Linked DNA regions of Struthio camelus. Each later gene encodes a partner of the first gene's protein in a complex. Links are inferred from orthologs where the notes say so. Each region holds a gene or a part of one and is shown on either strand. Other genes may lie near its edges.

What was found. Proteins that work in one complex are often made in the same cells at the same time.
Region 2: STUB1 (region 1) and BAG3 share a complex: the UniProt entries of both Homo sapiens proteins name them as parts of the chaperone-assisted selective autophagy (CASA) complex. The link is inferred for Struthio camelus from reciprocal best matches to the Homo sapiens genes STUB1 and BAG3.

The regions. Positions count from the first base shown.
Region 1 is NC_090956.1:17,572,742-17,580,566, reverse strand, and holds the start of STUB1 (E3 ubiquitin-protein ligase CHIP), read left to right. Parts: upstream 1-4,817; 5' UTR 4,818-4,962; intron 4,963-7,825. Other genes in the region: RHBDL1 (rhomboid-related protein 1), read left to right, coding at 91-249, 445-669, 750-898, 994-1,106, 1,192-1,292, 1,377-1,437, 1,521-1,792. UniProt on the Homo sapiens protein: E3 ubiquitin-protein ligase which targets misfolded chaperone substrates towards proteasomal degradation.
Region 2 is NC_090948.1:7,078,511-7,085,986, forward strand, and holds the start of BAG3 (BAG family molecular chaperone regulator 3), read right to left. Parts: upstream 3,011-7,476; 5' UTR 2,896-3,010; coding exon 2,731-2,895; intron 1-2,730. UniProt on the Homo sapiens protein: Co-chaperone and adapter protein that connects different classes of molecular chaperones including heat shock proteins 70 (HSP70s), e.g. HSPA1A/HSP70 or HSPA8/HSC70, and small heat shock proteins (sHSPs), e.g. HSPB8.

The DNA.
Region 1 (7,825 bases):
CAGGCTCGGCTGCCGCGGCGGCGGCGGCGCGGGGGCACCAGCGAGGCGACGGCGCCGCTGGGCCGTGCGGCCCTGTGCTCTGCTCCGCAGCTGGACCCCGAGAACACCGGCTTCGTCGGCGCCGAGACCTTCGCCAGCCTCGTGCACCGCCACGAGCTGCCCCTGGACCCCGCCAAGCTGGACATGCTGGTGGCGCTGGCGCAGGGCGACGGCGAGGGGCAGGTCTGCTACCAGGAGCTGGTGGATCTGGTCAGTCCCGGGGTGGCGCGGGCCGGGGCCGGGAGCAGGAGAGGGACCGGGGCGGGCGGGCGCCGGGCACCCCCCCGTGCCGGCCGGCCGGGCACGGGCGAAACGCGCCGGGCAGTGCCGGGAGCCGCGCGGCTCCCCGCGGTCCGGCGGGGCGCCCCGGCCGGGCGGTGGTGGGCCACGGCCCTCTCGCCGCAGATCAGCAGCAAGCGCTCGAGCAGCTTCAAGCGAGCCATCGCCAACGGGCAGCGGGCCCTGCCCCGGGACGTGCTGCTCGACCAGACCGGCCTGGGCTTCTACAAGCGCTTCGTGCGCTACGTGGCCTACGAGATCCTGCCCTGCGAGATGGACCGGCGCTGGTACTTCTACCAGCACCGCACTTGCCCCCCACCCGTCTTCATGGCCGCCGTGACGCTCACCCAGGTGCGCGGGGGGCCGGTGCCGCGGGCAGGCGGCCGGGGGGTCGGGACGGGGCGCTGACGGCTGCCCGGCGGCTCGCGCAGATCATCGTGTTCCTGTGCTACGGCGCCCGGCTGAACAAGTGGGTGCTGCAGACCTACCACCCCGAGTACATGAAGAGCCCCCTGGTCTACCACCCCGGGCACCGGGCCCGCGCCTGGCGCTTCCTCACCTACATGTTCATGCACGTGGGGTAAGGTGGGCCCGGCGGCGGCGGGGCGCCTCGGCCGGCGGGCGGGCGCCGGCGGCGGGGCGGCCGGCCCACCCGCGTCCTCCCCTGCGCGGCAGGCTGGAGCAGCTGGGCTTCAACGCCCTGCTGCAGCTCATGATCGGCGTGCCCCTGGAGATGGTGCACGGCGTCCTGCGCATCAGCTTCCTCTACCTGGCCGGCGTGCTGGCAGGTGGGTGCGCACCCCGTGGGGGGGGGGGTGCGGGGGACCCCCCCCCCCGCACCCCGGCCGCCCTGAGCGCCGCCGCTGCCCGCAGGCTCGCTGACCGTCTCCATCACGGACATGCGGGCGCCGCTGGTGGGCGGCTCCGGCGGCGTCTACGCGCTCTGCTCTGCCCACCTGGCCAACGTGGTCATGGTAAGTGGCCACCCGGCCCCGAAACCGGACCCCCCCCCCCCGCCGCCGCCGCCGCCCCCCGCCCACGCGCCCCTCTCCCCGCAGAACTGGGCAGGGATGCGCTGCCCCTACAAGCTGCTCCGCATGGTGCTGGCGCTGGTGTGCAGTAAGTAGCGGCCGGGGGGGGGGGGGCCGGGCGGCGCGGGGGGCCGCCGGCCGGGGGGGCTGAGCGGCGGCCGTGTCTTGCAGTGAGCTCGGAGGTGGGCCGGGCCGTGTGGCTGCGCTTCTCGCCGCCGCTGCCGGCCTCGGGCCCCCAGCCCAGCTTCATGGCCCACCTGGCGGGGGCCATCGTGGGCATCAGCATGGGGCTCACCATCCTGCGCAGCTACGAGGAGAGCCTGCGCGACCAGTGCGGCTGGTGGGTGGTGCTGCTCTCCTACGGCACCTTCCTCCTCTTCGCCGTCTTCTGGAACATCTTCGCCTACGACCTGCTGGGGGCACAGATCCCGCCGCCCCCCTAGCGCCCTGCCCGCCCCGCCGCTGCCCGTTGTTCCCTCTGCCTCTCGTTTTGTATCGGTGTCGCCCCCCCCCCCCCCCGACCCCGGGGCGGCGGGGGTCCCTGCAGGGCCGGGCAGCCCCCCAGCCCCGGCAGCCGCCGCCCCGCGCCGCCCACCCGCCCCGGCCCCGCTCGGGGCTCGGCCCCCGCCGGCCTCGCTACACCCCTTCCGAGGAGCCCTCCGCGGCCAGGGCAGCGGCGCCTTTACGTGGAGGACCGGTGCCAAAATAGGACTGATCTATTTTTCTATGCCCCCCCCCCCAAAAAAAAAAAAGAAAAAAGAAAAAGAAATATATATATAGAGAGAGAGAGAGGAAAGAGAGAGAAGGGGAGGAGAAAGAAGAAAGAACCAGCTGAGACCGGCCAAACTCGTTTCAGCAGTGAGCCCGGTGCCCGCCCCCCTCGGCCGTGGCCGGCCCCGCTCTGCCGCCCGGCGCCGCCGGGGCGCCCGCCGGAGCCCCCCGGCCCCCGACCCAACCGACCTTTTTGGAGTATAAATAAATATTTTGCACACCAGCGGCCCCCTCGGGCTCCGGCAGCGGCGGGGGGGGGAACGGGCGCTGGGATGCTCCGAGGGGTTTCGGGGGGGGGGGGTTGAGCCTGCTAATTCCATGTCAGCTGCTAATTAAATCAGTGCGTTGCTCATTAGTTGAGCGGGAGCGGGGCCGAGGAAGCAGGCCTGGTGCCCTCGGCCAGCTGTGGTCCGGGGGGCGGGGGGGGGGGGGAAGCCCCCCCCCCCAGCAGCCTGCGTGGGGCCTGAGCTGGGAAACGGGGAGGGGAGAGGGCAAATCCGGCCTGGGAGCAGATGACTAGGGCAGAAAAGTTTGGGGGGGGGGGGGGACGAGCCCAGCGCGCGGGAGGGCTCGCGGGGCGCCCGGTCCGGGCCCCCCCCCCCCCGAGCTGCTCCGGCACCGAGGGCAGCCCCCGCCGCCGGCCCCCCCGCCCCACTAACCCCCACCGCGCCCCCTCCCAGCACCCTGCCCTGTGCCCCCCACCCCATCCTGCCCCCCCCACCCACTGAGCCCCCCCATCCAGCCCCCACATACCCCCCCCCATCAGGCCCCAGGGTGCCCATCCAGCCCCACGCACCCCAATCTGGCCCCCCCTATCTCATACCCCCCCCATGCACCCACATCATCGTGCACCCCCACCCCCCCATGCACCCCATATCCCCATGCTCCCACACCTCACTGCAGCCTGCACCCCCCCACCCATGTATCCTGCACCCCATGCATCCTACCGCACCCCACTGCAGCCCCCCCATATACCCCACCCCCCCCCACTCCCAAAGCAGCCCACACTCTATTGCATCCACAGCCCCCGCACCCTGTACCCCCCCACCCCACTTTATGAACGCTGCACCCTCCACACCCCTCATGCACCCCATACCCCACTGCACCCCACACCTTGCACCCCTCTCTGCACCTACAACCCCATGCACCCCACTGCGCCTCCCCACAGCACCCATCTCCCCCACACCCTCCATGCACCCTGCACCCAGTGCACCCCATACCTCCCAGCACCCTCCTGACATCTTGCACCCCCCCCCGCTCTTGCACACTGCACCTCCTGCACACCCCCCCCTGCTCCTGCCTGTCCCCCTACCCACCCCAGCACCCCAAATCCCCCAGTACCCCTTTGCACCCCATATGCCGCCAGTACCCTCCCTGCACCTTGCACCCCCCCCTTGCACCCTCCAGCACCCCATGCACCCTACTGCCCCCTTGCACCCACGTCCGTGCACCCCACATCCCACCCCATGTACCCCAACCCCCCCATGCATCCCACACCCTGCTGCACCCACTGCAACATAACCCCCCCCATGCACCCTATCCCTTTCTGCCCTCGCTGCACCCCACAATCCCCCTGCACCCCACCTCCGCCTGCACCCCACAACCCCCCTGCCCTCACATGTACCCCCAACCCCCCATGCACCCCCCTGCACTCAACCCCCCCCGCCCTCACATGTACCCCCAAACCCATGTACCCCCACTGCACTCCACAACCCCCCCACCCTCACATGTACCCCCCCAAGCTCCCCATGCACCCCCCCCACCTCCCCCTGCACCCCACAACCCCCTGCCCTCCCATGCACCCCCGAAGCCCCCCACCTCCCCTTGCACTCCACAACCCCCCCATGCACCCCACCCCCTCCTGCACCACGCACCCCACCCCATACCCCCATGCACCCCCAATCCCCCCATGCACCCCCAACCCCCATGCACCCCCCCGCAGCCCACACCCCACTCCAAACCCCCCTGCACCCCCCAATCCCCATGCACCCCCCCGCAGCCCACACCCCACCCCAACCCCCCTGCACCCCCAACCCCCATGCACCCCCCCGCAGCCCACACCCCACTCCAACCCCCCCGCACCCCCCACCCCCTGCACCCCGCACCCTCCCGCAGCCCACACCCCACTCCAACCCCCCTGCACCCCCAACCCCCCTGCACCCCGCACCCCCCCGCAGCCCACACCCCACCCCAACCCCCCTGCACCCCCAACCCCCATGCACCCCCCCGCAGCCCACACCCCACCCCAACCCCCCCGCACACCCAACCCCCTGCACCCCGCACCCCCCCGCAGCGCACCCCTAACCCCATGCACCCCCCCGCAGCCCACCCCCCACCCCAACCCCCCCGCACCCCCCACCCCCTGCACCCCGCACCCCCCCGCAGCCCACCCCTCACCCCAACCCCCCCCCGCAGCCGGCGCGGCGGCAGCGCTGCCCCCCGCCGCCCCGCCCCCGGCGGCCCCGGCCCGGAAGCGCGGCGGGGGGGGGGCGGGGGGGCGGGGCGGCGGCGGCGCTGTCGCAGTGCGCGGCCAGGAGCGGAGCCGCCGGCCCGGCCCGGCCCGGCGCGGGGGGGCGGCGGCGGCGGCGGCGCCATGAAGGGGAAGGAGGAGAAGGAGGGCGGCGCGGCGGGCGCGGGGCCCGGCGGGGCGGCGGGGGCGGGCGCGGGGCCGCGGGGCGGCGGCGGGGGCGCGGGGGGCCCCGGCCCCGGCTCCGGCCCCGGCCCGGGCCCCGGCGGCAGCCCCGAGAAGAGCCACAGCGCGCAGGAGCACAAGGAGCAGGGCAACCGGCTCTTCGTGGGCCGCAAGTACCCCGAGGCCGCCGCCTGCTACGGCCGCGCCATCGTGAGTGGGGCCGGGGCCGGGGCCGGGGCCGGGGCCGGGGCTGGGGCCGGGGCTGGGGCCGGGGCTGCCACCGGACCGACCCTCCCCCAGGCCGCCTCCCTCCGTCCCCCATGTCCCCAGGCCGGGCCTGTCCCTGTCCCCCCCCAACCATGTCCCCACGCTGGGCCTGTCCCCCCTCTCCATGTCCCCAGGCCGGGCCTGTCCCTGTCCCCCACCCCCCAACCATGTCCCCGCCCTGTCCCTGTCCCCCTCTCCATGTCCCCAGGCCGGGCCTGTCCCTGTCCCCCCCCAACCATGTCCCCGCCCTGTCCCTGTCCCCCTCTCCATGTCCCCAGGCCAGGCCTGTCCCTGTCCCCCCCCAACCATGTCCCCAGGCCGGGCCTGTCCCCCCTCTCCATGTCCCCACGCCGGGCCTGTCCCTGTCCCCCCCCTCTCCATGTCCCCACGCCGGGCCTGTCCCCCCTCTCCATGTCCCCAGGCCGGGCCTGTCCCTGTCCCCCCCCAACCATGTCCCCACGCTGGGCCTGTCCCCCTCTCCATGTCCCCAGGCCGGGCCTGTCCCTGTCCCCCCCCAACCATGTCCCCATGCTGGGCCTGTCCCCCTCTCCATGTCCCCAGGCCGGGCCTGTCCCTGTCCCCCCCCAACCATGTCCCCACGCTGGGCCTGTCCCCCTCTCCATGTCCCCAGGCCGGGCCTGTCCCTGTCCCCCACCCCCCAACCATGTCCCCGCCCTGTCCCTGTCCCCCTCTCCATGTCCCCAGGCCGGGCCTGTCCCTGTCCCCCCCCAACCATGTCCCCGCCCTGTCCCTGTCCCCCTCTCCATGTCCCCAGGCCAGGCCTGTCCCTGTCCCCCCCCAACCATGTCCCCAGGCCGGGCCTGTCCCCCCTCTCCATGTCCCCACGCCGGGCCTGTCCCTGTCCCCCCCCTCTCCATGTCCCCACGCCGGGCCTGTCCCCCCTCTCCATGTCCCCAGGCCGGGCCTGTCCCTGTCCCCCCCCAACCATGTCCCCACGCTGGGCCTGTCCCCCTCTCCATGTCCCCAGGCCGGGCCTGTCCCTGTCCCCCCCCAACCATGTCCCCATGCTGGGCCTGTCCCCCTCTCCATGTCCCCAGGCCGGGCCTGTCCCTGTCCCCCCCCAACCATGTCCCCACGCTGGGCCTGTCCCCCTCTCCATGTCCCCAGGCCGGGCCTGTCCCTGTCCCCCACCCCCCAACCATGTCCCCGCCCTGTCCCTGTCCCCCTCTCCATGTCCCCAGGCCGGGCCTGTCCCTGTCCCCCCCCAACCATGTCCCCGCCCTGTCCCTGTCCCCCTCTCCATGTCCCCAGGCCAGGCCTGTCCCTGTCCCCCCCCAACCATGTCCCCAGGCCGGGCCTGTCCCCCCTCTCCATGTCCCCACGCCGGGCCTGTCCCTGTCCCCCCCCTCTCCATGTCCCCACGCCGGGCCTGTCCCCCCTCTCCATGTCCCCAGGCCGGGCCTGTCCCTGTCCCCCCCCAACCATGTCCCCACGCTGGGCCTGTCCCCCCTCTCCATGTCCCCAGGCCGGGCCTGTCCCTGTCCCCCACCCCCCAACCATGTCCCCGCCCTGTCCCTGTCCCCCTCTCCATGTCCCCAGGCCGGGCCTGTCCCTGTCCCCCCCCAACCATGTCCCCGCCCTGTCCCTGTCCCCCTCTCCATGTCCCCAGGCCAGGCCTGTCCCTGTCCCCCCCCAACCATGTCCCCATGCTGGGCCTGTCCCCCTCTCCATGTCCCCAGGCCGGGCCTGTCCCTGTCCCCCCCCAACCATGTCCCCACGCTGGGCCTGTCCCCCTCTCCATGTCCCCAGGCCGGGCCTGTCCCCCCCCAACTGTGTCCCCATGCTCGGCCTCCTCCCCCCACATCCCTAGGCCAAGCCTGTCCCTGTCCCCCCCCCACCCCAACCATGTCCCCATGCTGGGCCTAGCCTCTACCCCAAAGTGTCCCCAGGCCAGCCCCCCTGCTGCCATATCCCCAGGCTGAGCCTGTCCCTGTCCCCCCCCCCCAAATGTGTCCCCATACTGGGCCTGTCTCCTTCCTCCCATGTCCCCAGACCGGGCCTGTCCCCTCCCCATGTGTCCCCAGGCCAGGCCTGTCCCCCTGCCATGTGTCCCTAGGCCGAGCCTATGTCTCACCCCCCCCCCCCGCCCCATCCCCAGGCCAGGCCTGTCCTCCCCCAACCGTGTCCCCACGCTGGGTCTGCTCCCCCCACCATGTTCCCAGGCCGGGCCTTTCCCTGTTCCCCCCCACCCCAATGTCCCCAGGCTGGGCCTGTCCCCCCCCCCCCCCAAGTGTGTCCCCAAGCCAGACCTGTGGGGCCGGGGGAGGCTGGGCCGTGGTGGCAGCAGGCTGGTAGGGGAATGTGGGGCCTGGCTGGGTCCCCTCCGCCCTGTGTGTGTTGGGGGGGGGGCTGGGCGAGGGGCAGGCTGCCCCCGTGCCGTGGGGACCAGGCCCGGACCCCCGTGTGCCCAGCGCCACGGGGCAGCGGGTCGGGGCCCCGCCGGGGGGCTCGGCGGCCTGCGGGGAGCCAGAGAGCGCTGTGCGCGGCTGCGGGCCTGCTCCCGGCCCGCCCGGCTTTCGGGGCGCGCGCCCTGGGGGGGGGCGCTTCACCCCCGGCCCGGCCCGCGCTCCCCGGCGCCGTGGGGAGACGGCTTCGCCGAGCCGGTTTGGGGAGTCGTCCCAGCGCGCACGCCTTGCGTCGCCACCCCTCCCTGGCCGCCCCCGCCGGGCCGCTCGTCGGGGCGCCTGGCGAACGTGCCCTCCCGCGGCCGCGGCGCCGCGCGCTCATCCCGCCCCGAGCCGCGCCGGCCGTCCCCGTGCAGGAGCCTGCGGCCGATCCGTTGATT
Region 2 (7,476 bases), on another chromosome or scaffold:
GTAAAAGTAGTATCTAATGCCTTTAAAAAAAAAAAAAAAAAACATTGTTGGATTTGAAATTCAATGTCAGTGATCAATCTCTATCTTCTCTGGCGTAGCTTAGCTACAAAAATATTATTTAGGAACAGAAACACTTTCCTCGAGTCACATTCTGAGTTTTTGCTCAATAGTACTCGTAAATAAAATGGTACTTAACAAATGAATGTTTCAGAAGCTGTCCATTAATTTGAACAGACTCTCTAGGCTCTGGCAAGTGGCCCTATCAGATCAGTCACACACAATTTCTATCACCATAAGAGATGGTGATATGGAGATTTTTCTGTGAGCAAGATCACACTGCAGCTCTCCAAAATCAACACTATATTCCACCAAAGCCCTTCAAAAGCAGGTGCAACTTTTTCTATTTGTAATAACCCTTGCAACTTGGCAGGAGAAGAAGTACTTCTCATTACCACAGATTTCATATCAGATAGGGCTGAAAATTTGTCTTGTATCAGGCACCTACTCAAAAGAAGACTGATCCATTAGAGCACTTCAAATTCCTGTGTTCATGCAATTACCAAAAGCAGCTTAAGTGTTATTTTTCTCTTAAATGGGTTAGCATCAAGCAGTATTTCCATAACAGAAGCCTTTGAGTAAAATAGCACTAGTTTCTCCTCATCTATGTTTTATGGTTGTAAGAAACATACTTAACTATTTTGTTCTTTTTATTGCCATAGCAGCCAGTGTAACAGGTGCCTCATTATACTAGGAGAACAGTGTCTCCAAAAAGGAGTTAAAGCACTTTTCCTATGCTATTCTTTATATTCCCATTATTGAATTACATTTTTTAAGGCCTCTTTACATTACGACCAGAACAATACACTTGCATATTAAATTAACTAGCACTTAAAAAGCCACAAATGGGACAGAAGGATATGTTTTGTCCATTTGGATTCATTTCCACACTCTCAAAACAATAGCTTGTATCTGTGAACGCAACTGCACTAAGCTACCCTGATGGAGCAGCTCTATGCCAGAAGAGTATACCCTGGTCATTTGTTTTAAATACCACGCTGCTCTCACACTGAGATTTCAGTTACGGTCTGCACTCTCAAAATAGGCCGTTATCATTCAATTAGTAATTAGAAAAACTTCCATTCTTGAAATAACAATCTGTATCTAGTGCTTTGACCCTTGTAATTTATATAAGGCTACCAAGAAAAAAAAAGTCTGTGATGTATATTGAAGACACATTTTGAAGATACCAGGTATCTTCAAAACGGTGCATCGCAGATATGTTTCATGCAATTAATTTTTATATATATATATATATTTCTTAAATAGGGGGCTACTGCTTAAAACAGCAACCCAAGCAGAACTCCTTCCCAGCAAGCAGGCGCGAGGCTCTTCCCAAGAGGCCAAAACAGCAAGGCGGCCGTGACCCTCGAGGGCTGACACGAGCACGGTCACGCTCATCACACAGCCTCCTGCCAACCCGGCGGCCTTCACGCCGGGCGCGCGGCCGGGCAGCGCCCCAGCCACGGCCCAAGCCGCAGGAGCCCTTCCCCGGCGCAGCCGCGCCAACCGGCCGACGGCCAGGCGCGTGGCTCCGCCGCACAGGCCCAGGCTGCGGCCTCCCTCCGCCTTTCACCGGGCGGTTGTCCTCCGCTGGTACGTGGCGGGGGCCCTTTTCTAGGCCCTAACTCTGGGTGACGTTTTAGGTAGCGAGGATGGCCAAATCAAAAAAAAAAAAAACAGTCAGCGCTTTTTGATAGGAACGCTCCCTCGCCACCCGTTTCATTCAGTCGCAAAAAATCGAAGGCGACAGCTGTAAAGTGTGGCCAAGTGGGGATGAAAACGCAAAAAAATCCCACAGGAATTGTTTTTCCACTGGACTCGGAACTTCTGGTGCCGCTCAAAGTTTCCAGCACTTTCTGGCTAGTCACTGCATTCTTTACAGAAACGCTAATACTGGTCAAATCGCTGTATTCCCGGGAACCAAGAGAGTTTGACTTGAAAGAGCCACTGAGGAGGGCCCTTACCCCCTCACACCCGCTCTCCCCTCAGCTGCCTCTCTTCCCATGGACATATTTGGACTAAGATACAGCTTTTCCCTGAGCATGCTTAAAAACAAAACAAAACCAGACAGCAAAATTACTGAGATACTTTGTGACCAGAAAAGAAACCTTGACAAGTTATAAACTCTGGATTGGGTTTCTAGGTTTTTTTTTTTTTTTTTTTAAACGCATTCACTGTTTGGACTACCCGGAGCAGGGGGAAAAAAAAAAAAAAAAAAAGGCATCAAAGTTTTGCGTCTTCCCAGGCAGGCTGGGTGGACTTAACCAACTTTAAATAAACATTACAGGGGCCGAGGTATCAAATGATTTAATGCACAAAAAAGGGACTGCAGTGCGTCAGAGACAAAAGGCAGCTCCTGGCCTCACTGCATTGCCATGCACTGAGGAGAGCGCCGGCCGCCCTGCCCCCCCCCCGGGCGGGGGCCGCCGGCCGCGCCCTGCCCCCCGCCCCGGCGCCAACGGCCGCGCGGCGCCAACGGCCGCGGCCCCTCCCCGCCCGCTCTGTCACGGCTTTGCCCTTCGCGGCCGCGCCGCCCCGCCGGCTCTCCCCCCTCTTCCCCCCCCCCCCCCCCGCCCGCTCCGAGCTGCTCCGCCGAAGTTGCGGCGGGGCGCGGAAGGGAGCGGAGCAGCGCGGCGCGGAGCGGGGCACCCACCTCCCCACCCGCCGTACCTCGGCCCGCAGGCGCGGGTCGCTCCAGGTGGTGGTGCGGCTGTTGTGATCCACGAAGAAGGGCCAGCCGGTCTGCGGGTCGATCTTGATCTCCCAGCCGGGGGGCAGCGGCTCGGCGCTGCCGCCCTCCATCTGCACCAGCGGGGAGTGAGTGGCGGCACTCATGCCGGGCCAGACAGGAGCTGCAGTGTCAGGCGGGGAAACCGGCCAGGCGCCTTTATCAAGCGGGGCGGGAGGGAGGGAGGAGACAAGGGGCTGGAAGTGTCTGGAAATAGCCGCTCTGTGCAAAGGGGGAAGGCGGAGGAGGGGAGGGGAAGGAGGAGGGGCGGAGGAGGAGGAGGGGCGGAGGAGGAAGAGCGAGAGGCGCGGGGTAAGCTGGCCGGCTGGAAACTTCTGGTTGCGTCTAGCACAGCTTGGCCGCCTCCGGGCCGCCGGGCAGGGGCTGCCCCTTGAGTCACCCCGCCCGGCCCCGGGGCAGCGGCTGCAAGTTTCCTTCACCCCCTGCGCTGCGAGCGCCCGGCCCGGCGGGAGGGCCCCGCACCCCCGGCAGAGCCGGCGGCGTGGCGCGGGTGACTGGCGATTTCTGAGCAGGGCTGCTTTGCTTGCTGTCGCACTGGAGCGAGTCTTGTCTTAACAGACCGGGGGGGGGGGGCGGCTGCTGCCCCCAGAGATCTGCAGTCTGGACCCACCCCCGGGGGCTTCCTCAGGAAGAGGCAGGGCGGATAAGTGCGTGGAGCGAGTCCTCTCTTTTACCTTTCTGCAGGAGTGCACATGTATTTTACAGGCCCACTTAACAGGAGCAATGCTTGAGGCAGACTCTGGAAAAGTAAACCTAAAAGATACGCATGCTGCTTTACTGCTCTGTCCAGTTCCTGCTACGAGAGTGTAAGTCTGATACAGGAGAAGGGGATTTTTAGGCCAGCAGTGTCCCCAGAGAACACACAGCCCTGCAGCGTACTCTGAACTTCCTATGGTTGGGACGTAACAGCCCATTAATTCCTACCTCCTGGTATAGTGACCAAAGCCCAGAGAGCATCTTGCTTGCCCTGTGACTGATAACTTAAGGTTGTAATTGACTAAACCCGACAAATAGCAAATAAAAATAATCTTTATTTCCAAGTATGAGGATGGACAGACATGCTCTTCAGATTCAGCTGTTTTGATCTTCTTTAGCTTTTTGTAATTTAATGTGTCTCAGCCCTCAGTTTCACTAATACCAAGGAATATGTCAAAGCGCAAAACTTGAAAATCATGCCTTCCTCTATGGCTGCTGTATCAGTTTTTCATGCACTCCCCCTAAGTGTTCAGTTTGAGTTAACTGTACTTCATAGTTGTTCCACTTGTAGTCATCCGGCAGTCATGCCACAGATGCCTGTTGATAGTTACTTTAAGTAGAACAGTGAATGCAGAGTGTCCCTTAAGTGCAGACATTACCTGCTGCAAAGTTACTTGCTTCAAGGAATTCAAGGCATGCATTCCTTGGAGATAGTCATTACTGAAGTACTTAAGAAAAGCCTGTGTGTTCCCGCTCCTGGGGACAGTCAGGATCTCCTCTTGCTTGAGGAAGTAAAGCCCAAAGATCTCTTGATACTGCTTGACGGTGATACTCCTTTAACCATTGGCAGAATGAGTTTACTTCATTATGCTGGTATACCTAATAACCCCTCAAACTTGCTTCTTCCTTCCTGTAACACTTCCATTCTGTACATTGCTTGCCTTCAGAACTACACAGTAGTCCATCAAAGACTGCTCTTTCTATCCTCATTGTTATTGTGCACCTTTGACTTGCAGGTATTGTAAACTGACCTTTTTTTTTTCAGTCTGTACCTTGAAATGCTCGTATTATCAGCATCATCGCTTCTGACTTACCCATTTGTTAGAGCAACAGTCACATATCTCGCATATCTTAAAATCAGTCCTGGACTGTGATACACATCCCTGGACATATCTCCTAACCCTGCTACCTCTCATGCTCTTATCAAAGCCATCTCTGTCCAGCTTCATTAATATCAGCAGTTGCCTCAAAAGACTTGATATCTGAGATTTGTTCTACTTCCAATCTGTAAAAATCTGTAGAGAAATTTCACTCTTTGGTCTCATCTTCAGAACAGTAAGAAGCATGCTTAAACCATAAGTTCTCTGTGGCATATACCACAGTCCTTGCCAAGTCAACGAAAGCCACTGACTTAGGGGAACAGCATACAGAAATGTTAAAAGGTCTTGCCGGGGAAACTACTTAGGTAAATTGAGGTAATACACATAGTTTTTGTGCCTGATGGAGTGTAAATAGAGAAATGAAGAATGGGGTTTCTTTGTTTTGCTGCAGCTGATAGCTAGTTGTATGCTTAGCAGAGTTAATGAATGAGGTCAGCAAGTACGTGAAGAATGAATAAAAGGAAAGTTCAAAGGGCTAGCTAACAATTGTAAGTTAGACGTGTTTGTGCATTTGTGCCATGCTAAGGAATGGAGGAGAGTACGTTTCACAGAAATTAGCAGGAGCTAATAGGTCGGGGTGCTTTTGATTGTCTACAGGAGAGAGACTCGCGGAGACAAGGCTCCAGCTGCAGAGAAGGGAGTGTGGACTAAGAAGTAAAATCATTTTTGTGACTGATTTTAGTTGGCTAGATCTCATGGTTTTTCTGTCAATTAAAATCTCTTCCTGAGAGAGAGATTTCAGCCTGGTACCTCTTACAGCTGAAAGAATTCCCAGCTAGGTAGGTTATAGGGGATAGCAACTCAGTGATTCACTTTTTTATTCTCTAATACAATGTTGTGCTGGGCCATAACTGCAACTCCGAGGCAACATGGCTTCTAGTTTGTATTACTGTTAGTCTTATTCATGACCAGACTGATTTAGGGAAATGTTCATGTAAGGAATACTGCTCAGCAAAAATTTCAGGTCCACGAAAATTTGTTAAAAGATGAAGAAGTTTCTGTACTCTCCACGTATTTTAAGATGAGACTCCAGGTTCGAGATCTATATATTCCATTTCAGAAGGGAAAATAATGAAGAAGCTTTTGTTATTTTTTGGAGAGACTTCTGTCTTCTTCATATTGGTGCAAACATAGTGCTCCTGACTTCTTTAGGTTGATATCTGCATAGGGTTTTGCAGACCCAGAAGAGCATTTGTTCCAGGGTGTTCCAAAACAACCAGAAACCATGTAATCACAGTTAACCAAAGATAATAAGCTGTACAGGGTCTTCATGTGTTTCTTTGTCTTGAAAATGGACAGATTCTTCACCAGTCAATTAGAAAATCATTAGGCTCATATGAGCACTTGGATTTCCAAGGAATAATCCAGGACCCTAACTCAAGAAAGCCATTTCTTCCTCAAGCCAGCAACTACATCATCTCTCCGTTTTGATCTTCAAGACTGTGGAGAGAATTTGCCTCAGCTTCCACATTATACCATGGCCTGTGGTAAATTCATTTTATATGCACAACTACGTTCCAGAAACCTCAGGACAGCATAGATAGGCCACCTGGGGAAGTTCTTCACTGCGTGCTGTCATACCTTCTGTCACGGATGGATCATGAATTGTCTGCCAAGGTGCTCTGTTTCATCTACTGTTCACACAAGGACTTGGGTGACAGTTCTGTCCAAGATGGCCTGGCATGTTTGTGCAGGCTATCCATGGTGCTGCTGCTTCTCTCCTAAATGGGCTTGAATAATTCAGGTTGTTCAAAGCAGCACCATTATAAGCAAGTAAATCTCTGTGGTATGTCAGGAAGCAATGTGTCTTGGGATAAGCTCTAAATTGGCTGGTCAACCTTCTGAGTACCCATGATAATTTAGCAGATTACCTGAACAGAAAAAGTTGGATTAATCAGGACTATGAGTCGAAAATGTTTGTTCTGGATCAGGTATTCTAGAAAGCTTTTACTGATGGATCTGTGGGTAAGTAATGTGTATGACAAGTGTCTAGAGCTGTATTCCTAAGTGGGAATACAAGTTCTTTGCTGGATGCATTTAAGATTGAGTTCATAAAAAGGCTCTGTTAATAAGTGCAGCGGGCACGTGGAGTCTCTTAATGTTCAGGTTAGATAAACATGGCAAATCCACTACCATGACTTCCACAGCCTGATGCTTCATCCACATCCAGAGTATCAATACTGAATAGCACAGAACTCCACTGATTGCATTTTGAAGAAATACCCTGCTCCAGCTGTACAAACCATTTCAATTAAAAGCAAAAAGGTCTTAACTAAAAATTCTCTGCTAACTACAACCGGAGCAGAGGAGATTTTGACTTCTTGATTTGTTCAGAATTGTGGACTTCTTGGCATCAACAAAACAAAAAAAATCACTGAAATGATTTGGCCCCCTATTTCAGAAAATTAAAGATGCCGCGATTTGCAATCTTCTACTACTCTACCTCTTATACTACAGATAACTTTACTGACCTTTTTGTCCTTGTTTTTGTAGCTCATAATTTAGTCTAACAGCTGATGAAATAGATCACTATCCACAGAGGGTCTGATCTCACACTGACTGCTGTATTACTGCAGCCATTGTACGGCCCGTACAGTTTGATCGTGTCATCTGCTCATTGGAGTTACAGTAATCAAATGCAAATAATTAGGTATATAAATATAGCTCCTATTAACTTCAATAGAAAATGCAAAACATTAGTAAGAACATAGAGGGGTAAATGTACTTGCTAAATGGAGAAAAGCTTTTTAAACTTACGTGTTTCAATCACAGGTCATTTGCACCAAGTCTTGGCATCCGCAAAGCATATAC